2 linked regions of the Tamandua tetradactyla genome follow. The protein of the gene in region 2 interacts with the protein of the main gene of each other region in a biochemical or structural test. Links are inferred from orthologs where the notes say so. Each region holds a gene or a part of one and is shown on either strand. Other genes may lie near its edges. The genes, in order: FCHO2 and DAB2.

Region 1 (16,192 bases), on a different chromosome or scaffold from region 2:
TCCATGATGTGAGGATGCAATGAGATAATATATAAATGTTGCTATAATATGCAGAACTAAAGTTACAGATACAGTAATAGTTCTTGTTTTTCCAATAAATTGATCCAGACTCTATTAGACTTATTAGATGGAAATCTAGAGATATCCTCTTAAATCTCCACTTTTATTCTGGATCCCATACCTTTCCTTTTTTCAAGGACTACATTTCCACAATTATCTCCCTTCTCCCCCCTCTTTGGCTCTTCCCCTATGGCACCCAAGCATGCTCTATTACTGCTCATTTAACAGTCCATCCTTTTACCCCTTGTCAGCCTTCAATACCTGACTATTTCATTGCTTCATTTCTGACAAATGTTTCAAATGAGTTGCCTCTAGTAGCAGTCTCCACTTCTGCTTCTTTCTTCAACCCGCTCCAATCAGGTTCATATCTCCATCATCTCAAAGAATCAACCCTTGGCAAGGCCACCTCTATCCTGCGAACTCCAATGGTCAACACTTAGTAGTTGTCATCCATTGGCCACTTCCATGTTATCTTTCTTTCTTGGCAATTCCTCTAACTTACTGTTACTCATTGTCTCCTTTGCTGGCTCATTCTTTTCTCCTGATCTCAAAATGCTGGAGTGTCCAGGGCTTTCTCCTCTGCTCAACAGCCTCTGTTTCTCTCAATCTTCTCTCTCCCTATGAGAGTTCATTAAGTCTTATCGGTATATACTGATGATCTTCAAATTTATGTCTTCAGCCCAACCTCTGTCCTGAGCTCCAGAGTCATATATTCAATTGCCTGTCAGACATTTCCATTTGGATTTCCAATATACATCTCAAACTTATGTTCAAAACAGAGTCATTGAGGTCTCCTCCTTTTCTCCAAACCAGCTCCTTTCCATGTCTTTTCACTCTCTGGGAAACCATTACGCAGTCAGTTTCTCAGGCCCAGATTTTAGGATCATTCTTGACTCCTTTCTTTCCTTCACACCCCACTTGCAACCCATCAGTAAGCTCTGACCACTTTACCTTTGAAGTAGATCTTGAACCCAGTCACTTTTTACCATTTCCACTCTTCTCATCTAATCCCTGCCACCGTCTTCCCCCGTCAGGAAAATTACATCAGCCTTTTAACTGGCCTCCCAGTTGTTGTCTCCCTACAATCCCTTTTCACAAAGTAGTCAACGTGATCTTTTAAAAACATAAATCAGATCATATCACTTTGTTGACCTAAAACCCTCCATTGGCTTCCTATAGCACTTAAGCTACACCAGTCTATCTACACTTCTACCCTTCTCTTGACTCTGATTTCATCTCCATCTTCCAACTTCCATTCCAGCTCCATTTCCAACTCCATTCTCAACTCCAGCTTCCATTTGGTAACTGCTTTCCAGCTGTACTGGCCTTCTTTCCATTTACTTGAAAAAATCAAGCTCATTGCTACCTCTAGGCCTTTGCTTTCATTGATCTTTCAACATTATTTCCAGACCTTTGCAAGGCTATTTCCTTTGGCTCCTTCAGGTGTCTGCTCATTGTCTGTTCCTCACTTCTGATGAAGTAACATTTTAACTACTGTAGATAAGAAAGGCCCTCTTCTCACCACACTGTACCCTAATTCCACTTCATAACATATATCAGAGTATTTGAAAGGATCTCATTTATTCGTGTGCTTATGGTCTGTCTTCCTGCACCAAGTGGAGTAGTGAAGTGATTGGTCTCATTCACTATTGTATCCCCAGGGTTTAGAACAGGGACTACCTCAATACATGTATTCAATAAGTATTTGTTAAGTAAGTAAACAAGCAAGGGGCCCTCCTTCTCCACGAATGTCCAAGAATCTCAGGAACTATGCTTTTTACTCGTACATGTTACTGCTGAAATCTGGTGTTACATGATGTGCAGAAGTTCAGCACCTGGTAATAACCCCTTGTGTCTCAGGTCCATGCCCAGGCTGCACTGGACTTTGGAGGAGACCTAGCCCACACTCCCCATTCTAAGCTCAACAAAGGGTGCCTCTTGCTTGGGCTCCTGTGATCACAGTCGCTAGTGCTCTGGTCTTTCCGGTGTTCACTATCATCTTCCTCAGGGGCAGCCCCAGAAGCACTGATTTTCGCACGTTGCTGGGGATTCCACTGCCCCATAGACCCGAAAACCATTGTGCTAATTGAATCCAGGCAGTTTCTTGTCACTTTCTTTGTGGGGGGAAAAAAAAGAAAATGAAAAAGCACAAATTGAATTTCTTTGGTGTTATCTTTCTGGAACAAACCTTGATTCATTAATTTACCCATTTAACAAAAGTGTATTGGGCACCAACTATATGCCAGGTCATCTTCTAGGCACACTATTGTTATAATTGTCATCTCGTCATGAATCTGTATTAGATTGCGAATTTCTTAAGAGCAGAGATAGTCTTTTCACTGTAATAGGTGCCCAATATCTAGTGCCTGAGGAAGTGAAAGAGAGAGGAGTTAATGGAAGATGTTAAGAAACATTAAGCCCAGTTACATTTATACTAAAATCAAAACAACCATTACTCTTTACATAATAAATTTTTACATTAAAGTAAATTTTAAATTTTACATTAAAATAAATGTTAAATATAATAACAAATAATTCCCTTTGTTTTCTAGGCTATGCAAAGCAGATACCATGAAATGCATTGGCTTAAACAATGGGAATTAATTAGCCCTACAAGCTTACAGTTTTGAGACTGAGAAAAATGTCCAAATCAAGGTATCATCTAGGCGATGCTTTCTTCCCCAAAACTGGCTGCAGCAATCCTGGACGCCTCTGACACGTGGCAAGGCACATGGCCATGTCTGCTGGTCCCTCCCTCCTCGACAGGGTTTCTTGCTTCTGTGACATTCTTTCTCTTATAAAGGACACCAGTAAGAGGATTGAGACCTACTCGGAATGAGCTGGGCCCCATCTTAAGGTAAGATCCCACTCACCAAAAGATCCTACCCACAACGGGTCCACATCCACAGGAATGGACTAACTTTAAGAACATACTATTTGGGGGTACATACAGTTCCAAACCATCACATCACCCTGATATATATACATTTATTCATTCTTCCATGTTTTCTTTTGATTATTGTTCATTTGCATACATGTTTTGAATATTTGTATTTTTAATGTATTTTCCATTTCGTCTTCTGCCTTTCCTCTTTAACATTAATGAGAAGCATCTTTGCATTCTATGTTCCCATCATCACCTGTGTAGTTTTCAGTAATTAAGCAATTTCTCCTTTTTTATTTTTGAAACTCCTATTGGTTTCCCTGTGGTCACCAGCAGTGAAAATCCCTGAAGAACTTCTCAGGTGTTTTTGTGCTTCATCCAAAGACAAAGGTATATGTAAAATACAAATATTATGAAATTTATTTTAGGAATTGGCTTACACGACGGTGGGGAGGGGCAAGTCCTAATTCCACAGCACAGGCTGCATCCTGGGAACTCCAATGAAGGTTTTCAATTAATTCCCAGGAGAAGCTGGCTGTCTGAAATAGAGATGGAAATTATTCCCTCCACCCCTGAAATCATCAGTTCTCCCTTTAAGGCCTTCAACTTGGGTGAGACTTCTCTCACTGTTGAAGGCAAACTCCTTAGTTGATTGTAGATGTAATCAGCCCTAGATGCAATCAATTTACTGATGATTTAAACCCACAACCTACCCTCACAGTAACCATCAAGCCAATGCTTGCTTGACCAAACAACTGGATATCATAACCTTGCTTAGTTGGCACGTGAACTAACTAACACAGACAAGAAGGCAAGGGAGCCCCTGGAAAGTATGTCTCATTCTGAAGGAAGAGATGCTGCTGCAGCAGGGAATAGGCAGTCTATTCCAGGTGCATTGGGGAGTGAAGAAAGGTGCACCTGGCAAGCTACCCTGAGCTGAAGGTGTGCGTGGAGAGTGATGTTTGAATATTGCAATTTGATTAATGTGTTTCCCCTTCCTGGCCCTGGCATACTGGCCTGCTTGGTACCATCTGCTAAGCTTTTGCTTTTCTTTCTGTTTTGCATAAAACTTTTCCTTTCAATATGGTGCTGTTAAGTGGGGGAAAGGAGAACATCAGACATCAGGGATCTGCCTGTTTTTCTTCTCCCTTTTAATAGAGCTCAGCTCTTTTGTCATTTGTTAGTGTCAAGTACAAGATGAGTGCAGAGAAGGGTTACTTCACCTGGCACAGGACACTCCTCCTTGAAGGTATTAGCTGGAAATAGGAGAGGTTTTTAGGAGCATCTCTGCTTGGAAACAAGCGAAGGAATATTTGTAAAATTATAAGGAAAATAATTGAAAAAATGTGTCTTACTTTATAGCCAACTCTTCTGGAGTAGAACTGGTTTCAAATGAAGTAATGAGGAAATGGTGCTTGTGACTAAATGCTGACTAATATGCTCTAGGCTGAGAACCCAGAACTGGAAATGGGAGATCAGACTTGAGGGGAAGTTCTCTGGGCGCCTTGCCTAAGGAAGTGGGCCTTCAAATCTTGGAGACAACCCACATTTTGGAAACCAGAGAATCTAGGTTTATGTTATTTCCCCTCTCTTGTTTGCTACTGCTTATTGAGTTATGTTTATACAGCCCAGGTGTGTTTTGGACTATAAGGTACATGCTTGGGCCAGTTTACTGGGGAGCAACAGCATTTCCTGGAAACACTGTTGACAGGTGTAATTAGAGAGACATCCTAAGAGGAAGATGAATCTAGGGAAGAGGACAGAGGCTGGCTGACACCACTTATATTCTTCCTGTACTACATCATCTCCTCTGAATTTAGTCACCGTAAACACTATTTACTATAAAGTCCCACAACTTAAAAACACTAGGCAATTACAGCTTATGGTGTTTTGGCCCTATGAACATTACAAATACCTGAAATACATAGAATATTTATCTTCACGGCTGGCCTACCCCTGATATTTATGGGATCAGAGAAGGGACTATATGTGGGGGTCAGTGCACTACATGCAACTATTGTGACACTACTAGGAAACAATGGTTGTTATGCAAAAATCATTCAAGCTGAGAGGAAATATTTGACAAGACAACTAATTTATTTCTGTCTTATCTCAGCACTTCTGCTCAAATTCTGCCTGAACTTCAAACCAGTCTATTTCTGATATCAGCAACCACACCACAAGGTTTAACAACATTTGAGGTCCATCTTTCGTTTTGAGGACATAAGGCAAGAGATGTGAAAAAGCATTTCCTCGCGTGTGAAGATATTGATCATGGGAAAAGATATTTAGGGTTAAGAGGTTATGTCAGTGTTCAGCAGCAGATCATGAGTGACATAGGCACCCAGGTGTTTTTAATAAATTAACATGTGTGTATTTGTGATATGTAGGGTCCTTTATAGCATGGAGCCCAGGATAGGGACCCCACTTGCCTGGTCTAAGGGTGGTAATGCTTAGTGAATACTACAAATTTAATGCAAAGCTCATTTGCAGGGTGGTCTAGACGGATGTGTCATTTTAGAATTTCTTCAGCATTAAGAGATAGCACTAGATCGACAGCTTGGAGAACACTGTAGCATGTACCTAGGTTTAACTTTCCCAAATATTAGAAGTAACATATAATATTATGAAGACTTTTTAAATAAAGAAAATAGCATTTTCCAACTTCAACACACTTAAAAAAATCTATTTATTGTGGAAAATTTCAAACATATACAAAAAATAGAATAGTAGAATGGACCACTACATTTCCAGTACCTATCTCCAACAACTATTAATTCATGGCCAATTTTGTTTCATTTATACCACTACTCATCCCTAAATGAATTATTTCAAAGCAAAACATAAATGCCGTATGGTTACATCCTATATGTATCTAAAAGATACTCTATCACAATTATTCCCAATTTTCAACACTTTTCAGTTTGATCTATGTGAAAGGTACCATGTGATTTTTGCTTTTGAGGATGTATCTCACCATGAAAAGAAGTGTTACTTTACAGCGCTCACAGTGTTTGAAGTCACAAGATCTGAGTAGATTTGGTGTGCAGGAATAGCTAAAACTACACCGAGTCCACGTGTGGGGCTTCAAGAACTGCTAGCTCTATCTAGCTTTTGATAGAACTATCAAAGTTCTTTAACAAATGATCAGGTTACAGGGAATTTGAGACCTCATATTTTTACATATATATTTACTGTTGTAAAGCAATGTGTGGGAAGTGAACTTAGTTTCTCTATCAGGTCAAGGCATGTTAAAACTTGCTTCTTTTTCCAAAATGTACAAGTTGCTGAAAAACCATCGCCTTACATAAGCAAGACCTGGAAGAGATTTTTTTTTTAACTGTTCGGGTCACGGAGAGAGGTTGGTTCAGTTCCGTGCCCACTGCCAGCCGTGCTGGCGGTCAGCCTCCGTGTCCGCTGCTGGCGGTGCTGGCGGTCAGCCTCCGCGTTCGCTGCCGGCCGTGCTGGCGGTCAGTCTCCGTGTCTGCTGTCGGCCGTGCTGGCGGTCAGTCTCCGTACCCGCTGTCGGCGGTGCTGGCGGTCAGTCTCCGCGCCCGCTGCCGGCGGTGCTGGCGGTCAGTCTCCGCGTCCGCTGTCGGCGGTGCTGGCGGTCAGTCCCCGCGTCCGCTGCCGGCCGTGCTGGCGGTCAGTCTCCGCGTCCGCTGTCGGCGGTGCTGGCGGTCAGTCTCCGCGTCCGCTGCCGGCCGTGCTGGCGGTCAGTCTCCGTGTCTGCTGTCGGCGGTGCTGGCGGTCAGTCTCCGCGCCCGCTGTCGGCCGTGCTGGCAGTCAGTCTCTTTGTCCGCTGTCGGCGGTGCTGGCGGTCAGCCTTCGCGTCCGCTGCCAGCCGTGCTGGCGGTCAGTTCCGCGCCTGCTGTCGGCGGTGCTGGCGGTCAGTCTCCGCGTCCGCTGCCGGCCGTGCTGGCGGTCAGTCTCCGTGTCTGCTGTCGGCGGTGCTGGCGGTCAGTCTCCGCGCCCGCTGTCGGCCGTGCTGGCAGTCAGTCTCTTTGTCCGCTGTCGGCGGTGCTGGCGGTCAGCCTTCGCGTCCGCTGCCAGCCGTGCTGGCGGTCAGTTCCGCGCCTGCTGTCGGCGGTGCTGGCGGTCAGTCTCCGCGTCCGCTGCCGGCCGTACTGGCGGTCAGTCTCCGCGTCCACTATCGGTGGTGCTGGCAGTCTCCGCGCCCACTGCCGGCTGTGCTGGCAGTCAGTCTCCGCGTCCGCTGCCAGCCGTGCTGGCGGTCATTTCCGCGCCTGCTGTCGGCGGTGCTGGCGGTCAGTCTCCGCGTCCGCTGCTGGCCGTGCTGGCGGTCAGCCTCTGCGTCCTCTGCCGGCCGTGCTGGTGGTCAGTCTCCGCGTCCGCTGCCAGCCGTGCTGGCGGTCAGTCTCTTTGTCCGCTGTCGGCGGTGCTGGCGGTCAGCCTCCGCGTTCGCTGTCGGCGGTGCTGGCGGTCAGCCTCCGCGTCCGCTGTCGGCCGTGCTGGTGGTCAGTCTCTTTGTCCGCTGTCGGCGGTGCTGGCGGTCAGCCTCCGCGTTCGCTGTCGGCGGTGCTGGTGGTCAGCCTCCGTGTCTGCTGTTGGCCGTGCTGGTGGTCAGCCTCCGTGTCCGCTGTCGGCCGTGCTGGCGGTCAGCCTCCGTGTCCGCTGTTGGCGGTGCTGGTGGTCAGCCTCCGCGTCCGCTGTCGGCCGTGGGGGCGGTCAGCCTCCGCGTCCTCTGCTGGCCGTGCTGGTGGTCAGCCTCCGCGTCCGCTGTCGGCGGTGCTGGCGGTCAGCCTCCGTGTCCGCTGTTGGCGGTGCTGGTGGTCAGCCTCCGCGTCCGCTGTCGGCCGTGGGGACGGTCAGCCTCCGCGTCCTCTGCTGGCCGTGCTGGTGGTCAGCCTCCGCGTCCGCTGTCGGCCGTGCTGGCGGTCAGTCTCCGCGTCCGCTGTCGGCGGTGCTGGCGGTCAGTCTCCGCGTCCGCTGCCGGCCGTGCTGGCGGTCAGTCTCCGCGTCCGCTGTCGGCCGTGCTGGCGGTCAGCCTCCGTGTCCGCTGTCGGCCGTGCTGGTGGTCAGTCTCTTTGTCTGCTGTCGGCGGTGCTGGCGGTCAGCCTCCGCGTCCTCTGCTGGCCGTGCTGGCGGTCAGCCTCCGCGTCCTCTGCTGGCCGTGCTGGCGGTCAGCCTCCGCGTCCGCTGTCGGCCGTGCTGGCGGTCAGTCTCCGCGCCGGGTCACAGGCCGCGCCGGGACTCTCCGGTGACCCCAGGCTCCGTCCCTCCCGGCTCGCTGGCCTGGGCCCCTCCGGGCCGGCCTCCCGCAGCAAAGGTTTCTCCCACCACCGCGCCAGGGGCCCAGCTCCCTCCTCCGAGAGTGACCGTTCGGGGTCCTCGAAGGCCGGGGTTGGCCCTGTCAGGAGGCAGACCTGCCGCCGGCCGACCCCATCTTCGCAAGGCACTGTCCGCAGTGACCCTCCGGAACCCGGCTCCACCTCTCCAAGAGGAACCGCCGCCAGCCGCACCCGGCAGACCCGAGGCCGGCAGCAGCAGCCCCGAAGCCAGAGCCCGCGGCGCATGCGCACAGCGCAGCCACGGCGCCGAAGCCTTCGCCTCCAGATGGCGCATGCGCCCTGGTGGGTGGGGGGCCGGTCTCAGAGGGCGTCGACAGCCGCTAGGTGGCGCATGCGCCCTGGTGGGTGGGGGGGCCGGTCTCGGGACGGCGACGGCGGCGGGCGGGGGCGCCGCGGGGCCCGGCCGGTGTTTACACAGCGACGGGCGGGCGGGACGTGGAAGCCGGCGCCGCGGCAGCACAATGGTCATGGCGCATTTCCTCGAGAATTTTTGGGTAAGAGAAGACTGTTGGAAACCGACTGTTGGAAAGTGTGGGTTTTGGGGCCTGGCCTCGGCCTGCGTGCGCTGAGGGCGGCGGCGGCGGCGGCGGCGGCGGCTCCTCAGGCTCCGCGGGCGTCCTCGGACGGCGCCTGCCGGGTCCCGCCTGCCGCTGGCCGCCGGGACCTGGACGCGCGGGCTCGCCGCTCGGCCGGCGGCGGGGGTGTCAGCGCGGCCTTCGGCCCGCGACGGGGCCGCGGGGCTTGGACAAAGCGCGGGTGCGGCGGGCGCCGGGCGCCGCCACGGCTCCGGGACTGCTCGCCGGCTCCGGGCCCCGCCGCGGGCTGCCCTCCCCCCGCAGACTCCGGGGATCCCTGCGGCTCCCGGGACTCCCCAGGCCCGTGCTCTGGACCCCCACTGGCTCCGGGCCGGGCGGGGGACTCGCCTCCCTTCGGCGCGCCACCACTTCCCCCGGAACCCCGTGCGAGCTGGGGCTGGGTGAGCCGTTCCCGCGGCCCCCGCTCGGCCGGTCGGTCGGCGCCCGGGCCGCCCTGGGCCTGCCCGCGAAGCGGGTCCAGGCTGAGCTTCGGTGGCCGAACGACGGTCGCGGCGCGGAGCCTCCCGCCTGGCCCCGGCGCGCTCTCGCGTCCTGCGTCCGCGCCCGTCCTCCTCGGACTCCGGCTGGGGAAGGCCGCCCCGCTCCCCTGCGCGGGGCTCTTCCGCGGGTGTTGGTGGTGGTGCGGGCGCTCGGCGGCCGGGCGCCGGGCGCCGGGGAGGAGCGCGCGTCTCCGGTAGCTGGGGCGAATGTCATCTTTCCGCCCGGCAGTTCAGGCTGCAGTTCCCTCTTAGTTGACGCGGAAATGTTTGACGGAGTCATCTTTTCGTGAGGGATTTGTCCTCAGTTCTTAACTCTCAGCCTCTCATGTATTGACTCGTTTGGTAATCGAATCAGTTCAGAGTTGTATGCCACAATGTACCTTGTTTTCCACAAGCAGCATGAATACTAGATACTAGGATTTAAAAAAAGTCTTACTGGGATATTATTTACTTAATGTACGGTAAACCCATGTAAAGTGTTAGTTGATTGACTTTTAGTTTGTTCACAGAGTTGTGTAATTACTATGATCAATTTTCGAGCAATTATATCAACTCAGAAAGAAATCTGTACACATTAGCAGTCACTTGGTGTTCTTTCTCCCCCCAGACCCTGACAACCACTAATGTACCTGCTGCCTCTGAAGATTTGCCTCTGCTGGACATTTCATATAAATGAAATCAAATAAGTGGTCTTTTGTGACTGGCTTTTTTCACTTAGCATAATGGTTTCAAGATTCATCCGTGTTGGAGAATGTATCAGTAATTCATTCCTTTCTACTGCTGTATAGTATTCCATTGTGTGGCTACACCACATTTTGTTTATCCATTCATCCGTTGATGAACATTGGGTTTTTCCACTTTTTGGCTATTATCTATAGTGCTGTGATGAACACTTTTGTAGACGTTTTTGTGTGGACAAATGTTTTCATTTCTGTTGGGAGAGGAATTGCTGGGTCACATGGTAACTCCATGTTTAACATTTTGAAGAACTGCCAAACGGTATTTCCTGTACAATTTTACAATTCCACCAGCAGTGTCTGAGGGTTCCAGTTTCTCCACATGCTCATCAACATTTGTTATTATCTGTCTTTGTGTGTGTGTGTATGTGTGGTTATATATACATAACAAAATTTCTCATTAACCGCTGTATTATATGTATACAATTCAGTAATTTAATTGCGTTCATAATATTGTGCTTACTGTCACCAGCGTCCATTGTCAAAGCTTTTCTTCCTTCAAGTAGAAGTTCTACACCTGTTAAGCAATGTCCTACTCTCTCCCTCTTCCCAGCTTCTTGTCACCTTTAATCTACTTTTTGTTTCTATGAATTTGCTTATTTTAGTTATTTCAAGTAAGTGAAATCATAAAATATTTGTTCTTTTGTGTCTGACTTATTTCAATCAACATAATGTCTACAAGATTCATCCATGTTGTTGCATGTATCAGAACTTCATTCCTTTTTATGGCTAAATAATATTCCATTGTTTGTATATACCACATTTTATTTACTCATCTGTTGCCGGACACTTGGGTTGTTTCCATCTTTTGTCTTTTATGAATAATGCTATGACCATTACTGTACAGATATCTGTTGGAATCCCATTTACAGTGCTTAGGGGTATATATGCCTAGAAGTGAAATTGCTTGGCCATATGGTAATTCTGTGTTTCATTTTTGGAGGAACCATTTAAGTGTTCTCAACAGCAGCTGCACCATTTTCATTTCCCACCAATGATGTGTAAGGGTTACTGTTTCTCAGCATCCTCTCCAACACTTATTTTCTGTTTTTTTCTTTTAATACTAGCCATCTTTGTGGTATTAAGTGGTGTCTCATCGTGGTTTTGATTTGCATTTCCCTAATGGCTAAAGGATGCTGAGCATCTTTTTATGTGCTTATTGGCCTTTGGTGTATATTTGGAGAAATGTTCATTCTCTTTTTATTGTGGCACTGTGGATATGCCAAAAGTTGTTAAAGTATTCTTCTGACTATGGGCAGTTAGATTGTTTTCAATATCTTGCTGTTACATTTGTGATTACATTTGTATATGCATGTGTATATCTTTGGATAAGTGTCTCTTCAGATCCATTGCCCATTTTAAAATGGGTCGTCTTTATTTTACTGAATGATAATAATTCTTTATATTTTGGATACAAGTCCTTTATCATTATAAGTAATTTGCAAGTGCTTTTTCCCATCTGTGGGTTTTTTCTTAATTGATGGTGTCCTTTGAAACACACACATACATTTTAAATTTTGATGAACCCTTGAAGTCCAATTTATTAAATTTTTTCTTTTATCATTTGTTCTTTTGGTGTCGTCTCTAAAAAGTCTTGGAGTTTACCTAACCCATGGTCAAAAAAATTTACTCCTATATTTTCTTCTTTGAGTTTTATACTTATAGCTTTTACATGGCCTTTGATTCACGTGGAGTTCATTTTTGTGTTTGTACTAGCAGTAGAACTTCATTCTTTTGCATGTGGATATCCAGTTGTTCCAGCATCATTGGTTGAAAAGACTGTTCTTTCCACATTGAATTGTCTTGATATCTTCGTCGAAAATCAGTTGAACATAAATGTAAGGGTTTGTATTGGACTATAAATTTTTTGCATGCCAAGATCACACTGTTTTGATTACTGTAGATTGCCAGTAAGTTTTGGAATCAAGAATTGTTAGTCCTCCAACTTTGTTCTTCTTTCTCAAGATTGTTTTGGCTATTCTGGGTCTCTTGCTTTTCCGTATGAGTTTTAGGAACAGTTTCTTAGTTTCGGGTATTAGGTTTTACAGTGGTAATTATGAAAACTTTTTTTATAAAAACCATTTATTCCGATTAAATTGACGTTCTTATATGTTTTATGTAATTTTTTGATTCATAAATTTATTTTGAAGTTTGCTAACTTAATTCCAAATTGCATCTTAACATTACAAAGGTTGTATTTTATTTTCTGTTGAGTGAGCTTTGCACATAGCTTTGTTTGATGTTTTTGGCTATTAGGAATAATACTTCTATGAATATTTTTGTGTAAGCTTTTATGTGTCTCTTTTTTTGCTCCTGTTTTTAGAGAAACTTGGATATCTGTACTCTAGAGAGAATTCTCAAATCTCATTTATGCCTCCGTTTTTACCTTCACTTCCAATAAATATTTTATTTGAACAGATTGAGTACAGATAGTAAAATAGACTTCATTTTATCTTATTTCCTAGCCTGGAATTGGGACTGAAAACTCTAAATTATAGTTTAAAAAGCTTCAAAGGAGGGCTAAATGAGCTAGGAAAGTCTAGGAACTAGTACATAACCAGCTTCTGAGAATGTGATAATTGTCTGTTTAAAACAACTTAAAATTTACAAATTTCAGGATCATTTATAAAGCAATTACTCAAATAGAAAACTTAGAATATTAATTTCACATTTTTCCTAATATTTAAAGTGGCACTACCAATACAAAAATAAAACTTGTTGGAATAAGTTTAGTGGGAACCCTTAAAATTTTAGATTTCTGACCCAAACAGCCTATTAATTACTTTTCCCCATGCACATATAAAGGCGAGTTTTTTTGTTTTGGTGTTTTGTTTGAGGACATTTAAATCACTGAAATTCTCTTCAAGCTCTTTTAAAAACAGCACATGCTGTGTTTTCCTTTAAAGTATATTCTGTTAATTAAAACTTTATGCTGCTACGTATTCCTTTAACTTAATACTATATTCTGAAGTGAAAAGTGTATTAAAAACTTCCTATTCAGCAGGTGTTTTCTTACTGATAAGTCAGTTTTTGCCACACACCTGAAAATGCTTTTCTTTCTATTAAAACTTGACAGCAGAAATAATTTTGATAGCAGAAATCCTTACCATTGCCTTCAGTGTTAAAAACAATTGTTAGCCCTTCAAAATATTATTAACTTAAATAAGGTTATCTACAAGTATTACAGTGAGGTAGTGTCTCTATATGCTGTTTCTTTCTCAGAGTTGAGTAGTAGTTTATAATATCCTTGAGATTGTCTCTGTGAACATTGAACTATAGTAATTAAAATTGTTTTATATTTTTACATAAGCCCAGGTTATTTAGTTCAGGAATAAAAAACTTTTTCAAGGAATGGATTTCATAAATAATAATTATTTACGGGGAAAAGATAAGTGAGCACAGCACACTTGAGTTGAATACATTATAGACCTCATTTTACACAGTAATCCCCATCTGTATAAGCTATGATGCCGTCATCCAAAGGCCCTTGACTATTTTTTTGTGTACATCATGTTGTAATGAACTGAGATTTTTAGTTAGATGATTTTTCCAGAGGTTATCTCTAGTCAGCACATGAAAAATGAACAATCAACAATTATGTTAGGCATTTTTTTCCCCTGAAATTGTGTGCAGAAGTTTCATTCTCTTTGTCTTTCAATTTCACTGGTATTGTCATACTTTAATTTTAATGGAGCAGTTGGTTATATATCCAAACATTGATCTGTTATTATGTGGATAAGGTTGGGAGATTTAAAATGTGTTTTAAAAATCTGAAATTGCTAATAGGACTTGGATTGCAGAACATTAATCCAAACTTAGCATTCTGGATGACAGACTTAAACATATACATGTACACATATACACATACACACATTCTTTGAAGTTGTTTATCCATATGAAAATTAAAAAAAAAAATAGCTTTAGAAAATTCGGTTGTGGTGACCACAGAGACCCAGAATATAGGCTGTCTTTTTGTTACTTGAAATTCCCAAATATTGTAGTTTGGGGTATGGGTATCAGCCTAGTATATGATCTCATCAGATGATATGCTAAAATGTAAAAAAATTATATATATATAAAAAATTAACAGGCTTGCAAATTTCACATGGTTCAAAACTCAAAAAATACAAAAGGAAATACAGTGTAAAATCTTTTTCTTTTTCTCCAGTCATCAAGATCGCTCCAAAGGCAGTCACTTACCAGTTTCTTATATAGCTTTCCAGTGATAACCTATATTTATATAACCAAATGTCCTTCATTAAATTAAAATATATTATTGTATGACTGTTAGCCATGCTCAGATTGTTCTCAACTGTAGCAAGTTATGAAAATGTAAGTTATAGATTTATCCAACTTGGTTCAAGTAGATTTGATAGGTGGACGTTATAAAATAATAGTGTTTTAGCTCTCACTGAGTTTTATTTTGAGACTCTAGGGTTGTTTTTTTTTTTTAGTGGGGAGGGGCTGTATGTTTACCTTAATAGTTGGACAAATTTGGAAATGAAAAATTGATAGTGATTTAGACTGCATAAGTTCAGTTGGAAGAACTTTGGTAGCAATCAGATACACAAAAAGAAATTTAGATGGGTCAGATGTGGGGAGAAACAAAAACAATAGAACAAGAGCAATTGAGACCTATAATGACTACTTATTAGAAGAGGTGCCGGGGAATGTCAGTGGAGTGGCCAGAGTTAGAGAAAGTGATTAGTGAACTGTGTGATGAAGTTCAGGAGCTCTTCTTGCTTCCTTATGGAATTGCAGAAGTAAAAGCCACGGAAAATAGCACAAGCATGTTTGTTTGACTTTAGGGAAAAGATAGGAAGGTACAACATAAGTAAAGCAAATTGGTGATGATGGGGGCAGAAGCCAAGAAATGTAGAGGTTTTAGTTGTTTGAAACTGTTAACAGTCAGTGAAGAACATTGTTATGTTCTAGGTAAACTCTCAAGAATACAAAAGAAAACTAAAATTACCTATAGGTCCTCCTCTTACAAGAGTAAATTGAAGCGTTATTAAGAAAGCTGAAGTTATTGTTAATTTTTTTTTCAATTTGAAAGTAAAAACCATATTACAGAAAATTTGAGAGGTAGAAAAATAAAAACAAAAAATTATTATGCCACCGTTGTTTGCTTCTGCTATTTTATTGAACCCATATAATACCTACTTAGAAGGCTTTAATGATTTAACCTGAGGAAACTGACTGGAAGAGATGAGTTGTTATTAAAAGATTAGAGAGGGCTATCTGAGGGGCAGGAAAATGTAATAAGATTTCGTTCCTTAAGTCAATCACCAGATGTGTTCAGTTGACTTTTGTACTTTCATCAAATAGTGCGGACTGCCAGTGGTGCTCATAACGCACCTTTTATTTTTTTTAATTAATTTTTTTATAACACATCTTTTAATCACGATTTTCTGCTTTAGCAATATCTTGCCAGTGGCTCTGCAATATAGTTTTTTGTTTGCTTGTTTTTTGGCGTGGGCAGGCACTGGTAATCGAACCTGGGTCTCTGGCCTGGCAGGCGAGAACTCTGCCTGCTGAGCCATCGTGGCCGGCCCTCTTCAATATAGTTTTAGTAATCCTATCTGAAAACATCAATGTACAAGTAGAGTATTGAATAGAAGGGGTTGTGACTTGTGGTTTTTTTATTTGTGGAAAAACTACTTGCATATGTTTTAATTTCTTCCTGGTAGTTTTCAAAGCAAAAATGGCACTGAAGGGCTCTCATTATATATTTGTTGAACTCATTAAAAATGCCTCTAGTCAATTCTTCACTAGAGGTGTCGATTCTTCACTAGAGGTGTCAGTTCTTCACTAGAGGTACTATTTTTCAAAGAAAAAAGTAAGCTTTGAATTACTTTAATGTTTTATGGTGTCTTTTTTAAGAAAAAGGAATGGTGAAGTAAGACTATATCAAACACATCTTAATGTTATGTTTTGCACTGACTTGTCCAAAAGTTTGTCTAATAAGTGTCAAAGTAAGACCTAGAGTAAAATGTAAATGCAGAGAGATTGGAAAGAGATATTTACGTATTTATTTTTGAAGTGGTTTGGAGTCAGAAGGAAGGGTAGACATGTTATTGTTTGCATGTCAGCCCCTCCTGACCCTTGTCTTCCCTCTCCAAAA
Region 2 (15,345 bases):
CCATTCATATGAAATATTTAGGGATATCTTCTATATTTTATCTGAGTGACAATTATAGCCCAATTTCTTCTTAGAGGTGAATAACAAAACTTGAAAGTACTGGAATAACTACCAAACAACAGAAAAGTAGCAAGGCCAGCAGAATCCAAATTGGAAGCACTGAATGACATAAGCATTAATCAGCAATCTAAATAATAACAAGTGGCCACATTCTTGTTGCCACTGATTCTTGCAAATACATTTATCACTAGAAAATGTGCATCATATATTTTGATTAACATTTTTTTTTTTTTGGTGGTAGGTGGGGTACATGTTCCGGGAGTCAAACCTGGGTCTCCTGCTTGGAAGGCGATCATTCTACCACTGAACCTTCCATGCACCCTGATTAACACTTTTATTTTTAAAGAATACCCAATATAAAAGTAAGTTCTGGTGCAAAGGTGGCTCAGTGGCAGAATTCTCGCTTGCCATGCTGGAGACCCAGGTTCGATTCCCAGAGCCTGCCCATGCAAAAAAGAAAAAAAAAAATGTTTATTCCCAACTTTGCAAGTGAAATCATTGCCCTCCCCGCTACATGGGATATGACATCCAGGGATGAAAGTCTCCCTGGTGACATGGGAAATGACTCCCAGGGATGAATCTGGCCCTGGCACTCTGGGATCAACAATTCCATCCTCACCAAAAGGAGCAAAAGAAGTGTAACTAATAAAGTATCAGTGGCAGAGAGAGTTCAAATACAGTTGGGAGGCTACTCTGGAGGTTGCTCTGACACAAATTTCAGTTAGACTTTGCTATCTATCATAACTTGCCAAACCCCAGCCACGAACATTCCAGCCAATCCTAAAGAACATGTAGGGTAATATATTAGATTCTACAAGGGTTCCACGCGCTAGAGTAACTTCCCAGAAACCTACAACCTCCAGGTGGGTCCCTGATTCACATAAGTCCTGAAACCTAGAAGGCCCAGCCTCTCCAGAACATCAGATAGCTCCATTTCCCTATCCTTTATTAGTGACAGACCCTTCCAATATGGAAAAGTTAGGATGGCTATAGCCCAAGTACCCCTAAAGAGAAGGATGGAAAGATCAAAGGTGATGATGGAGTTATACAGTGAAGATAGGATTTAACAAATGAATTTAAATGCTGAATCATTAAATTGATATCTCTTTTAATCTATAGGATCTTAGAACAGCTAGAAGTAAAAGCCTAAAATTATGGAAATGTAACCTCTGTCAAACTCTGAAATATGTTCTACAACTAATTGTGGTGCTGTGCTTGAAATTTATTGCTTTTTTGTATATGTTATTTTTCACACACACAAAAAAGGAAAAAAGTCAATTGTGATGATAAAAAATATTTAAGCCTTTGTATTCTGGGGCAGCTGGAAGGAAAAATCTGAGAGGATCATACAGTAGCCTATGACTAATTCTGGGATCTGTCCTGTAACTACTTGTTGAAGAGTGCTTTGAAAACTATTGCTTTTTAAATTTCTTTGCTTTGTATATATGTTATACCATACAATAAAGAAGTTAAAAAAAAAAGTTCTACAACTTTTTTTGAAGACTCAAGTTTTACTTACAGGATATTCCTAAAGACTTATCGTCTCCTTTGGAAAAAGTTAACAAATAAGAAAGTTATTTCACATATATATAAGGAAGAACTGAAAGCCTTGAAAAATAGTGACACTGTTTTGGTTTGCTATAGGTGCTGAAATGCAATATACCAGAAATGGGTTGGCTTTTAACAATAGGGATTTATTAAGTTGCAAGTTACAACTCTAAGGCCATCAACAGGAGATACCTTCAAGAAAGGCTGATGACATCATGGGTTTCTTTTGTCACATGTGGAGTCATCTGCTGGTCCTTTGCTTCCAGGTTCTGTTGGTTTTAGTTTCTGTATGTCCTTGCTTGCTTCTCTGAGGACACCTCTCTGACCGCTCTAAGTCCTGCAGGTCTTCTTCCAGCATCTCTGGGGCGTTTCTCTCTTGCTCTCTGCATCCTTCACTTGGTTTCATCTCTCTGCTCTGCCTTTCTTTGGGTTTTCTGTCACTATTCTCTTCATAAAGGACTCCAGTCCAAGGATTAAGCAGCACCTTGAATTGGGTGGGTCACATCTTCATAGAAACCACCTAATGAAAAGGTCCCTCCCACAATGAGTCTGCCCCACAAGACTGGATTAAAAGAACATAGTCTTTTCTGGGGTACATAACAGATTCAAACCAGCACAGACATTTTGTGGGAATTTTGCCCAACAAGTCTTTTAGGAAACTTGAATGCTTTAGGTAGCTTGAACAAAAGCATGGATTCTATGTGTGAAAGGGTTCTATAAAGTGGTGACAAATTGTTCTGTTCACAGTTACTCTATGAGATTTTGTCACACAGTATGAGAGACATTAATAAATATGTGTCAGCCTGTCATTCTTTCACAAAACACTCCCTTAACCCAAATAAACAGGCTTCTGGAGGCTACAATGGCCGCCTTTGTCTAAGAAATACTCGCTGAATTGTAGATCCACACTGTTTTCTCAGAACACCAATCACACAAAACTCCTTATACCTGGGAAAATACAACAATGATGCTCTTTGGAAATATGAAACATCTCTGGAACTCTCAGAAGCACTACAGGAAAGTGCAATCATGAATCATTTGGGCTTTGAACAGCTGTCAGATTAAAACTACTCTATTATAAAAAATGAAGATCTAATAAGACAAATTGAACTCCATATCAAAGTTATTTTGCCATCCAGTTGTGCAGTGAGGTGACACAGAGAAGTGAGGGTCTAAATTTATTATTTCTTTCAGACATTGTAAAAGATAATGTTTCTTTGTTAGTGCTATAATTTGAAGAAACTTTCTCATGATAATTAAGACCTGGAAAAAATTACTCCACAGGTAAACAAGAAAAAGTCACCACTGAAAATAAAAAGATTCTATCCTGACAATAATATCTACTACTTGCTTGTGATGAAAAATAGCAGCTAAACGGATGCACAGGTGGTTCAGTCGTAGAATGCTCACTTTTCATGCAGGAGACCCAGTTTCAATTCCTGGACCATGTACCCCACTGCCCTAATAATAATAATAATAATTATGTACTCTGTGAGTACATTAATGGAATATTTCTCCAGGTAAACAACACCTCAGTCATTGGCTTCTTTGGTATATTTCCACGGGAATTTCTAACCATGAAGCAGTTGATTCAATTCCTGGGGAAAGCAGTTCAATGCCAAGACCACTTCACTGAGCTTTAGAAAGAGGCATTAATTATTCTTTAGCCCTTTCTAGAACCCATGTTTAAATAAAAAAAAAAAATTGACTGTTGGTTAATTCTCTTTCTCTTTAATGATAATTTTTGTAGAATTGCTCATGGCTATTCATCTGGAAATAAATCCACAGGAAATGTAAAAAAATTTTAAACTTAATAAAATAGTGGGAGGATGAGGGAGAGAACACAATCAGGAAATCTATTAACTTCTATTCTGAGTTGAGACTCCGGATCATCTGTGTGTCCCATTTAGTTCAGGGCAAAAAATACTATTTATCTGGAGATATAGAATGTTAAGTCATGAATTGCTTAAACAAATACTTTTTAGTGTAATCAAGTCTCCGATATTATTGTAATCTGTCTTCTTTAGCTTTAACTAGCTGTGCAATGGCAGAGGTTTTTTGTTTGTTTGTTTGTTTTTCCTCTTGGCCAAAATAGTCTGCTGTTCTTCTAAAAAAGAAACACTTTCTGAATATTGTCCTCATTTGATTGTATCCAGCCGGAGTTGGTTTGGGCCTGGGTTTTGCAAAATCAGGGGTTTTACCCAACAATGGCTAATTTGAGTTTTGGTTTTGGCGTCATGGTCTGTAAGAACATGGAAGGTTTTCACTTTCCAAGTTTTCTTAACTGACTGGTGACACATCCTGAAACTAGAATCCCTGTTTTTCTTTTCAATAATTTTTTCCCTGCTGGCAGAGTGTCTTGTGAAACTTTGTTAAATCATGCTATTTCAACCCTTCAATAATAAGCTAAACTAAACTTTTGCCTTTATAACTTTGTCATAAACTCGTATCAGGTGAGGAGCTTTATCAACCTGTCTTTTTAGTAACTTGGAAAAGAAATCAACTTCCTACTCTGCTCCCCATTCTTTTTCTACAGCTCTCTTCCCTCCTTTCTCTTGCCGACAATAAACCCACCACCTAAAATCTTCCCAGGGCATCTCAAAATCTTCATGGTTTGGTTCTTGTCCTGCATGCTATAACTCCAACTCAGGACTCCAATTCCATTAAATTTTTTTCATATATTTGGTATATATGCCATACATATTCTTAACTTACATGTATAATAATCCATTGATTCTAAGACTCCCTTGGTTGTAAGATGCATCATTATTTTATCTACCACTAGAAAAGAATGAAAACACCACTAATTAAAATTTATAGCTTGCCATCAGATGTATAACATATTCCAACAATAGAAATGTTAAAACATGGAAAATAAGACAAATCTTAGAATTGATGAAACGTGGTGACTTAAAGCAAACAGGAAATACCTTCAGATTACAAGGCATGACAAAGGCATTAAAAGAACAATCAACTTCCACCCATTTTGATTTACTAGTTACTCATTATCTTGCCTATCTTTTCCTTCAATTGATTACCTTGTTACAAAAAAAAACCCAAAAACTGATGCCTACTAAACACAGGTCCTTCGGTAGGTACTGGGGGCACATAATAAACAAGAAGCAGTCTTTGTTCTCAAAGAACAAAGGAACAAAATCACTCATGTTAGGAATGGATACAAAAAGCAACTAGGAGATTATAATCGCAATATCAGACAGAAGTACTGAATTCTGTGGGAGTAAAGTAAAAGGTGACCTAACCCAGTCTTGCAAAGTTTAAAGAGAACTGCCCAGAAAGCCACTGCCTAAGACAAAATCTCTAAGATGAATAACAAGAGTTATCCATCCACTGGGACAAAGTGATTGAAAAAAAGAGGGGCGGATACTCCAGTTAAAGAAAACAGTAAACAGCAAAAGAAATACCAGTGTTGTGTTTTGGAAAATGCAAAGGGATCCCTAACACTACAGGACACGAAGTGAGCTCACTCATGGTCGCACAAACCAAGCAGAGAAGCTCAAAACTGATTCTGAGGAAATTGTTGAACTCAGTGAAGGCCTTAAGCATAATGTGACAAGATCACTTTGACAATTTATTTTCATTTGTTTTATCTTTGCTTCATTAGAATCAAATTCATCATGACAGTTAAAAATTCAAATTGTAGGAAAAAAAACTTATGAAAAACATTAATTTTCTCCTCCCACTGCAAGCCCATTCCTGATTCTGATAAGAAACCAAAATTCTTTCAGCTGCTTCTTGTTGCAATTACCTTCATATTATTTTTTTTTAACTATACTGCTGTTGTTCAATTTATCATTTTAGATATAACCCAATGGTCATATTGGGTCTTTGGTTCTGGAAGATTTTGCTCTCTTTTATCACCACCCCCACTTCTCCTTCCTTTCAATATTGTTAAATATTATTTTTGGCTATAAAATAGAGTTCTTTAGTGTGTTCTAAATGCTCCAGCAGACACATTGTCTTCCTACTGTTTCCCCCTCCTTTGGCCAGTTATCAAATCAGATATAGTTTGCTATACTTTCCCATAATTTTTTCTTGGAGGTCTCCCTCCAAGACCCTTTCATTCCTATTCTCAAGTGTGTGTCAGTTGGGCTCCAGTCTTGACAAACAGTTATCAACCTGGGTATTTTCCTTTTTACTTTCTTGAGTTTAAAACACTTTCCTGGATCATGGGTTACTCCCCTTTTTGCTGGAGCACATCTTCTGATAGTTTTCTAAGAAAAGGTAAAAAGATAAATTTTCTGAAAATTTCCTTATTCTATTTTCACCATGATTAGTAGTTTGGCTGGGTATAAAACTCTAGGCTGAAATAATTTTCTTTCATAATTTTGAGAGTTTTTCCCCTTGTCTTCTAACATCTAACATTACTGCTGAGAAGTATGATTTCATTCTGAAACTCATTCACTCAATGTAATGTCTCTCTCTCTCTCTGGAATCATTTTGATTTTCTCCTTCTTGGCTTCTGAAGTTACCTTATGATATATTTTGACATAGGTCTTTTTTTATTTTGCTGAAGACTCAGTTTTGTCCTTTTTATTTGGAGATTCCTATCCTTCAGTTTTGGTAACTTTTCTTTAGTGCGTTAAAATTGTCTTCTCCTAGTATCTCTTTAGTCAAGTGTTATACTCCCTAGTTTAATTGTCTGTGATTCTTATCTTATCATTCAAATCTTATGGCTCCATCTCAGGGAACACCTCTAGAATTTATCTTCCAACTCTACTTCTCATTTTTATAGAGGGAGGGGTGGTGCTATCCCATTTTTATTTTCTTAGAGCCCTTTATTGCTTCTTATTCTTTTGCAAAATAGCAATCTGTTATTTTTTATGGAATAAATAGCTTTTCAAACCTCCCAAGAATATCAAGAAGTAGACACATTTAGTATTTGTATGATTCCTGCATTATCTCTAAATTCTTCTCTTTCCTTGTTTTCACTTTGTTTATTTTGGTCTCTCTCTTCTACAGTGAAGGTTCTCTTTATCTTTCTGGTGAGCCAAGTTCATTCATTCATGTTTAAGAGTAGGGCATTTAAATCCTAGTGGAAGCTCAGTACACATGGACTGGGTTAGATGATTTCTCTCCAGGGAGATCTTGTAAGAAGCAGTTCCCCAACTGCCAATGTTTAGACATTTTGGTGATTATGTTTTTTCAGACAAGTAACCTTCTGATCTCTTGCCTTGGGGACAGCTACTGGGCTCTCTGCTATATGCATTAGAAGGGAAAGTGGACTAGGAAGATCAAACTACTATAGTATAAGCAGACTCTTATTAGTTCCCTTGAGTTTAGCCCTGAGTCTTACCTTCACATTCCACCATACCTGAATTGCCAGCCATTCTCATTCAGTTTCTCAAAGTAATAAATAAAGCCCTGATCTTCTATGGTGATGATGGGGAAGGGGCATTAGTGTTCTCTTCAGGGTATGCATCAGAGAGTTGGAATCACCTGGTTGTTGATATTCCATTCACTGGGGGGGAGGGGAATGTCAATGTATTTGATCTTTCCACTTACTCTAGGCCCATGCCTCACTGCCTCCACCCATCACCTCAGCTAAGTCTTTCCAGGGTTTTGCATTGTGAACTGCTTCTAGTGTGGTTACTACCCTCCCTCCATACACATAAATTCTGGATTCTTCTGCCCTTATAAATTAGTATCGGCACCTTTGTCACTTTCCACCCATTGAATGATTTGTACTTGCCTGCTAAAGTCCCAATCTTATATTCTTTTTGCCCTTCTGGTTTATAGTCTTTTATTCCTTTAAGTAACTGCTTCATGAAGCTTGGGCAAGAGGATAAACATGTGATTTCAATCTGCTTTCTTTAACTGAATACCATATATTTACAATTTAGATCTGCAATGTTTTAGTGCAAATAATCCCATTGGCTCATATATGAAACAAACATTTTCTGAACTATAAATTAATAAACATGATATGAACAGTATGAAAGCCATTAAGACAAAATATTTGAAGTCAAGACTATCTTGAAAAATCTGGAATGTAGGGCCAGAGTTCTTATCTAATGTCTCCTCTCTGCTCTCTTCTATGCTTACGTTGCTGATGGCTTTAAATAAAGCCACAAGACAAAATGGAACAGTAACATGTAAGAAAAACTCTAACCTGTGTAACTCTCACCCTTCAATTCCAAATTTCTCACTCTGTCCCTCCTCCCCCACAAAAAATCTTACCAATATTTCAAGGGATTTGTACATAAAATTTCAGACTTGGACAGACTTTTTTTCAAGATAAGGACCAACTCTTGGCTGAGAAAGACTCATTCTTTCATCTTTTTGTATTGTCATTGCACAATTCAACCAACAACTAAGTTTTAAAACCTTCACTTTATGGGAGGCACAGCTGGTCAAATCCAGTGCTCACTATATTTTTGTTCATTTGTTTGAATTCTTTCTTTTTGCTTGTAATTTACTCAATAAATGCACTCTAAATGGGGCAAAATCTTGTCAAAAGTTCCTCAAACACCAAAAATTTAGAAATATATAGAGACGTGTTCTCCTCTAGAAGGGAAGAGATTTTATTTAAAATAATTTGATAAGACCTTTGGTGTGGCTGATGATAATCTGTAGGCCTGATAAGACCTTGGGTGAAAGTGATAAAGAAATGTCAGCATGTATCTGCTCGAGGACCCACAAGAATTCAGGAGCTGCAGAAGACAAGAGAAAGCAAACGAGAGATTTCAAAATCATTTTACCTATGAAAAACATAGGAATTTCAGGAGGGGAAGAGTAAATTCAACACAGAGCAGAACATGACGTTTAATAATAAAAAGTCTAATATTCAAATATTTATGGACTAATATTATTCATATATATGGCAAAAAAATTTCATTTCCCATTCATTTCCACAAACCTTCAGAAAAGACTGCCACCCTCCCAAAGGTCTTGGTTTAGGAAGGTTTCCTATGGAGAATAAGGAGAACTGATTAAGGAAGATTGCTGATTTCTGTGCCTGCATTGATAGTGTAAAGCAGAGTCGGCAGGCAGGATGAACCTTGAACTGAAACAGTTCAGCAGAAACAAGAACTCCAAACCAGCAGTGGAGGGAACATGTAAATCATCTCCACTGGAGAATCCTCTGAGAGAAAGGAAAGGACTCAAGGTTCAGAGTACGGAGCTAACATCTGCGTTAGTTTTATAATAATGTCTCTGAGGCTTAAACAAATGGCAAAAACCCCTGTAACTGTCTAAAAGAGACTGAATCTCGTACTGTATCTGCGTTTGATGAGTAAAGAGAAAAGGCATTTAACCTAAGAAGGACACAATAGAAGACCGCAGAAAATTCCCTTTGCCGAAAGCATTCTGGGGTAAGTTAAACAACCTCTGTGCGCAGGAAGAGGTGGTATTAAAGAAGGAATTTAAGTACTGCATTGGGGGCTGAACAAGAAGACGCTGTGGTTCTTTAAAATCTGAGAGTCTATAATTCCAGGAGTTATGCAGACTCTGACCATTTCAATTTAGCCCAACTGGAATGGAAGTTAAAGTGATTTTAAGTATAATGCCTCAAGGCTCTCGGTGGAGTTCAGCTCACCACGTGGTAGTACTGATTCTTATTCAGGACAGTGACCGGGCAATGGAGGTCTTGCGAAAACGATTCCAGTATTTCCTGTTGGATATACTCGTTCTCTAAAGACACTGAAAGGAGAACTGAACAGACTTAAAAGTGGAAAAGCTTCCAAAATCGAGGGTAGGGACTGGGGGGGAATATTGGACCAGGCTGGAAGAGGCTGTCTCTTACAGAGGTCTCCTAGTTGAGACTGGGTTTTTGGTTCTGTGAAAGAGCTTTGCATGCTAAATTATTTTTGTGTTTGAGATGCTTTCTCGAAAAAAGACTTGCATTTGAATTCACGATGCAGTCTTTTTTTAGGGATAAATCAGTAAAAAATGTCCACACTAACCTGTCATTTTCCTCTTCTATTTTGAAGCTCTCTGTATGGCAGTTAACTTCTACCCAAAAACAAAAAATGTGTTTGGAAAATTCCTGGTTAGGCCACTTGCTTGCTTTGTGAATGACATGTGTGGTTAGCTATAACATATATATAGCAATGCTTTCTTCTTATTGCTGCCTTCTTCATGCATGTTTTTCTTATTTGAACATTTTTATGGAAGTGATTAAATATTTGGTTTCAAGCTAGTGTAGAAATTGTGGAGATATAGAAATACTCTCTAACTGAAATCCAACTTACATACACCTACACAGTCATACAAACACACACATGCATTCACATTCCTAAGATATGCATGATCAGATAGTTTTTATTTGATTTCAGTGTCCTTTCTCCCCCCCCCCCCCCACCCCCCCTTTCTCTTCTCCCACTCTCTTCTCTCTCTTTTTCTTTCTGGGAGTGTAGAGAGAAGAAAATGAAGTAAAAGTGATTTCTATTTCATTTTAGGCTTGCTTTCTAATAAAGGCAACATTGTTCAGATGCTCAGTTCTCCAGCTCTTACCCAGAGTTAAATGTTGTAGAAATGTTACTTCAAGCCTTATTCAGAATGACTGAAATATTTTTGCAGGGTGTCACCTTGCAAAGCATCATTAATGTTTACAGTTTCAATAGCAAGTTATATTGCTATAGTAACTCCTAAAGGGATATCCTTTCCCCACCCCACCCCACCCAAAAAAGCATGAACTGAAGAGAAAGCAAACCTTGGTATTTAGGCCAAAAATTCCTCAATACTGATTAGCATTTAGTAAATTTTCAAAACGTATCCTCAAGGACTGGAATGTTTCCTATTCTATTAAATCAGTTTTATGCAGTGTTGTATGATAAAAACTAACAATCTTAAGAGAAGCCCTATGTTTTTATTAGAAATTTCAGTTTCTGTTGACACTGAGGGAAAAGGGTTATAAAAAGGTAAAACTGGGACTCTTGCCAGAATAAACTTTTTGTGAATAATTCTACAGCAATTAGAAACCTAAAAGATGTCTATTTAATATTCCATATCTACCCATGGACTTAATAAGAAGGGAAAAAATATGTTTCATTTATTGCTCCATTGCTATATAATTCAGTCCTTGGGTCTGCAAAGTATTTATAATGTTAAAGCTGAAAGAGATTATATATTTGGAAATATTTCTTAAAAATCTACACATCATTATTATAAGAAGGATTGATTTATTAAAACAGTTCAGAAAATTTCTTTAACTATCCATGTTAATTTATCTAAGAAATATGAGTGGATCATCAAATATTATTACTATCCTGTGGATACATTGTATACTCAATGGAAATACCAACATCTTTCCATGCTTTGTCTTCCGTCTGTAATTTGGAGTAGGGTTAAGACATGACCCTTGCTAAGTTAGCAAGTTGAGGCTCCCCTAAAAAGAAAATGATCTCTAATTAAGAGCTATATAAAATTATTTGCAAGTTAAAAATGTTTAGAATTTACATAGATCAATTGAAAGCAAAAAACTGATGTGTTTAATTTTCCTTTTCACAGCAACAATAAGTTATTTCAACAACAAAAGTATTGGTTTGAATCTTAGTGCCTTCACCACCAATTTATGTGCAGTCCAATAAGCCCCCTGACTTCTTTGAAACCCAATTTTATCATTTTTAAAATAGGGGTAATTATGCTTGTCTAACTTGCAAATGGCTATGATGCACGGATTAGAACATATGTGATAGTTTATTTAAACAAAGTTGCTGAGCATCGTCTTCAATAAGATCAAAATTATTTCCAAGCTCTAACTCATTGCTGCTTTTGCCATCTGGAGAAGATGCTACCAATGCTAGCAACAGGAGGATAAGGAGAAGTTAAACCCCCCTCCCAATATGGGCTGTACCTTCACAATGTAGAATTGCTTTTTTGTAGTCACGTCCTAAATACCAAGGACTGAGGTCTCCGTCAACAACACACCCTCAAAAGAAAATCTACTTGAATCTTTGTAGATTGGCTTCCTGGTTTTATGAAGCCAGGAGAAAGAAAAACAAGCCGGAACATCTCATCAGACAAGCACATGACAGCACTGTAGGCCTCCTTCTGGGGCTCAGAAACCAGGTAGACTTTGTACCTGTTTGTCCACCTAGACACCGAGTGTGAAGCAGACAGGAAAGATGAGGTCATTTCACAAATCATCAGACTTCAGCTTGTCATCAGAAACCCAAAGAAGAGAGTACTTGGGGAGCTTAGGGGTATCAAAGAGGGGCCCTGGCCTGGGCATTCTGATAAGACCTAATGTTGCATGGAGAGTGGTTAACATTACCCAATGGATCCTTGATTGCTGGAGGAGCTCCTCCGTCACACACAGATGTCTGGTCCCACGTCTGGCAGGGAACTGGGTACACAAAAGCAGACACTTTCTAAGAGGTATAATGATAGCCCAAGTCTGAATCCAGAGCTTCTAAATCCTGAAATGATATTGTTTTTGCTACTTAAAATTAAAAAACAAAAAAGGTCCATGTGGGAAACATTCTGAAGTAAGTCACGGAAATTTTAGAATGGGAGCTACCATCTGTTTATTTCCAGCACCCAACCCAGTAAATGGCACATGGGAAATGTTGAATGAATGAATGAATGAACTCCACGAAATGCCTAATGGTAGTAGCGATTGTCCTTTTTTTTTAAGTCTAGAAATTTTCAAACATAACATTAATAGAGAGAATAGTATATTGAACACACATATACCCATTTTTGGCTTCAACAATCTTTTTTTGTCTATTCTCCCTCAATTTTGGAGATAGGTTATTTTAAAGAAAGCTCCAGATATCATATAATTTTATCCATATTTATTTCACTATGTAACATAAAGATAAATAAAGACAATGCAAAGATATTTGACAAAATTAATTCCTTAATATCTTCTAAAATCTCTGTATCAGAAATGTCTTTTTTTAACATTTTTTTATTCAACATAACAATATAAAAACACATTCTTACCATATGATCATTCCATTCTTGATATATAATCAATAATTCACAATAACATCACAGTTGTATATTCATCATCATGATCATTTCTTAGAAAATTGCATCAGTTCAGAAAAAAAATTCATACGTACCATACCCCTTACCCCTCCCATTCATTGATCACTAGCATTTCAATCTCCTAAATTTATTTTAACATTTGTTCCCCCTATTATTTATTTATTTTTAATCCATATGTTTTACTTATTTATCCATAAGGTAGTTAAAAGGAGCATCAGACACAAGGTTTTCACAATCACACTGTCACGTTGTGAAAGCTATATACAATCGTCTTCAAGAAACATGGGTACTGGAACACAGCTCTACATTTTCAGGCAGTTCCCTCCAGCCTCTCTGTTATGCTTTAACTAAAAAGGTGATATCTATTTAATGCTTAAGCATAACCTCCAGGATAACATCTCGACTCTGTTTGGAATCTCTCAGCCATTGACACTTTATTTTGTCTCATTTCTCTCTTCCCCCTTTTGGTTGAAAAGATTTTCTCAATCCCTTGTGCTGAGTCCCAGCTCATTCTAGGATTTCTGTCCCATGTTGCCAGGAAGGTCCACACCCCTGGGAATCACATCCCACGTAAAGAGGGGAAGGGCAATGAGTTTGCTTGTTGTGTTGACTGAGAGAAAGAGGCCACATCTGAGCAACAAGAGAGGTTCTCTCGGGGGTGACTCTTAGGCCTAATTTTAAGTAAGCTTAGCCTATCCTTTGCGGGGTTAAGTTTCATATGAACACAACCCAAGATTGGGGCTCAGCCTATTGCTTTGGTGGTCCCCAGTTTTATTTAATGGGCCTATATTGGTGCAATAATCAACTAGGTGCAGCTACTTTCTCAAACTGGAACAACAGGAATAGTAGAAGATGGTGAACATATTAAGCTCATAAATCCTTCTAAGAAGAGGAATGTCACTCATGTGGATAAACATTTCTAGTTTGGAAGAGTAGGTGAGCAGGGGAAGCTAAATCATGCTAATTTGGGACTGCGCTAATATGCTGATAGAGTCAATGAAAAATACTGATGATGAGAACCTTAGCAATCATCTAGTTGTAGCATTTTTAGGCTTATTGAGGGTAGAGCCCTGTAAGACATGCAGGTCTTATCAGAGCATCATGAAATAATATCTTTAATTTCATCCTACGCTTCAGGAATAGTTTAATTGGACAAACATAAAAACTCTATTATATTTGCAGGGCTGCATTGCATCATAATTGGGAGGACAGTAAAAACAGGCTAGAATTTGACATTCAAAAAATATTTATTGTTTATGAAATGTTATTGATGTGTCTGGAGAAACAACAGTCATTAAAACAGGCAAAATCTCAGCTATCATGGAGCTTAAATTCCAATTTAGGGGTGGGGAAAGAGATGATACAATAATAAGTGAAATGTGTCAGATATTAAAGTATATCATTTGGTGATATAAGTGCTGTGGAGAAAATGTAAATCTGAGTAAAAGGATAGAGTAGTGGGGCAGTATTCTACACAAGATGGCCAAAACACTCCCCATGAGAAGGTGACATTTGAGCAAATATTTAAGGTAGTTAAGGGAACTAGCCAGTCCAGACAAAGGGAATAGCAAGTGCAAAGGTCTGAGGTAGGAATAGCAAGAAGGCCAGAGTGGCTGGAGTGAAGCAAGTGAGGGGGAGAACAGAAAGAGCAGGCATCAGATAGGTCATGGAGGGGAGGGCAGATCAAGAGTCTTAGAGCCATTTGTAAGGACTTTGGTTTTGATGCTGATGGATACGGGAGTTTTTAGGGTTCCAAGCAGAGGTGTGATATTATGTGGCATGTTTCATGAGGACCACTGGCTTATATGTCGACATTAATCAGTGGGATGGAGAAGATGAAAGCAGCTAGTGGTTAATGTAATAATCTATGTGAGAGATGGTGATGGCTTGTAGCAGAGACTATCAGATAATAAGAATAAGAATAAAATATAAAAATGTTCTGTTTTTTTTTCCCATGAATACTTATCTGCAATATATTTAAGTGTTTTTTATTACCTGATAGAATTCATTGCCAGATAAGGGAGGCAAGCACAAAGGGTTAAAAATTCTTTTTTATGGAAAAAATCTTAAAATGAGAAGAATCTAAGGGTTTCCTTCTTCCCTGAGTTAACAATGAGAACTATCATATATACTTGCCATTTGCCAGGAAGTCGTTATTTAACATTCATTCTTATGTCATTTAACCCTCACTATAAACCTGTGGCACAAGCATTGTTTTTCCATTTTACAAATGAGAAATTTAAGGTTCAGAGAAGTTAAACAATTTATCCAAAGTCACACAAATGACAGAGCCTGATTTTAATTTACATTGCTTAATCTCAAACCCACGCTGTTTCCAGTGTGCTATAGTGTGGATTATGAAAAGAAAAGTCATTATTTGTTTAAGTATCTGATCATTGGTCCAGATCTTAGAATATCATATTCTAGAGACTTAATGGAAGTTAAGAAATTAAGTGCCTGGAAAAAGCTTTTTATTTGCAGGTTTTTGGTTAATCAGCTTGATCCATTATTACTGGGTAGGATATTGTGAAAAGAGACTCTTCAGGAGTCAATATGTTAGGAGAGAAAGAGGCAGGTTACATAACCAATGGCGGCTGGGCCAGGCCCCGTGCGCACCGCAGTGGATTGTATATGGCTATCCCAACCTCCGCATTCAGTATTGCAGCTGCTGGCCTGAAGCTGACTTCGTGGTGGGTGCATTTACTCTATAGAAATAGTCAAATGTGATAAAATAGGGCTTTTTAAATTTAGAGGCCTGGTTTACCAGTTGTACTCTTACCT

Evidence for each region.
Region 1: the proteins of DAB2 (region 2) and FCHO2 form a complex in vitro, tested with the Homo sapiens proteins (2 studies listed by BioGRID). The link is inferred for Tamandua tetradactyla from reciprocal best matches to the Homo sapiens genes DAB2 and FCHO2.

Annotation. Positions count from the first base shown.
Region 1 is NC_135347.1:59,620,761-59,636,952, reverse strand, and holds the start of FCHO2 (F-BAR domain only protein 2), read left to right. Parts: upstream 1-8,620; 5' UTR 8,621-8,717; coding exon 8,718-8,750; intron 8,751-16,192. UniProt on the Homo sapiens protein: Functions in an early step of clathrin-mediated endocytosis. Has both a membrane binding/bending activity and the ability to recruit proteins essential to the formation of functional clathrin-coated pits.
Region 2 is NC_135335.1:89,517,330-89,532,674, reverse strand, and holds the start of DAB2 (disabled homolog 2), read left to right. Parts: upstream 1-8,655; 5' UTR 8,656-8,939; intron 8,940-15,345. UniProt on the Homo sapiens protein: Adapter protein that functions as a clathrin-associated sorting protein (CLASP) required for clathrin-mediated endocytosis of selected cargo proteins.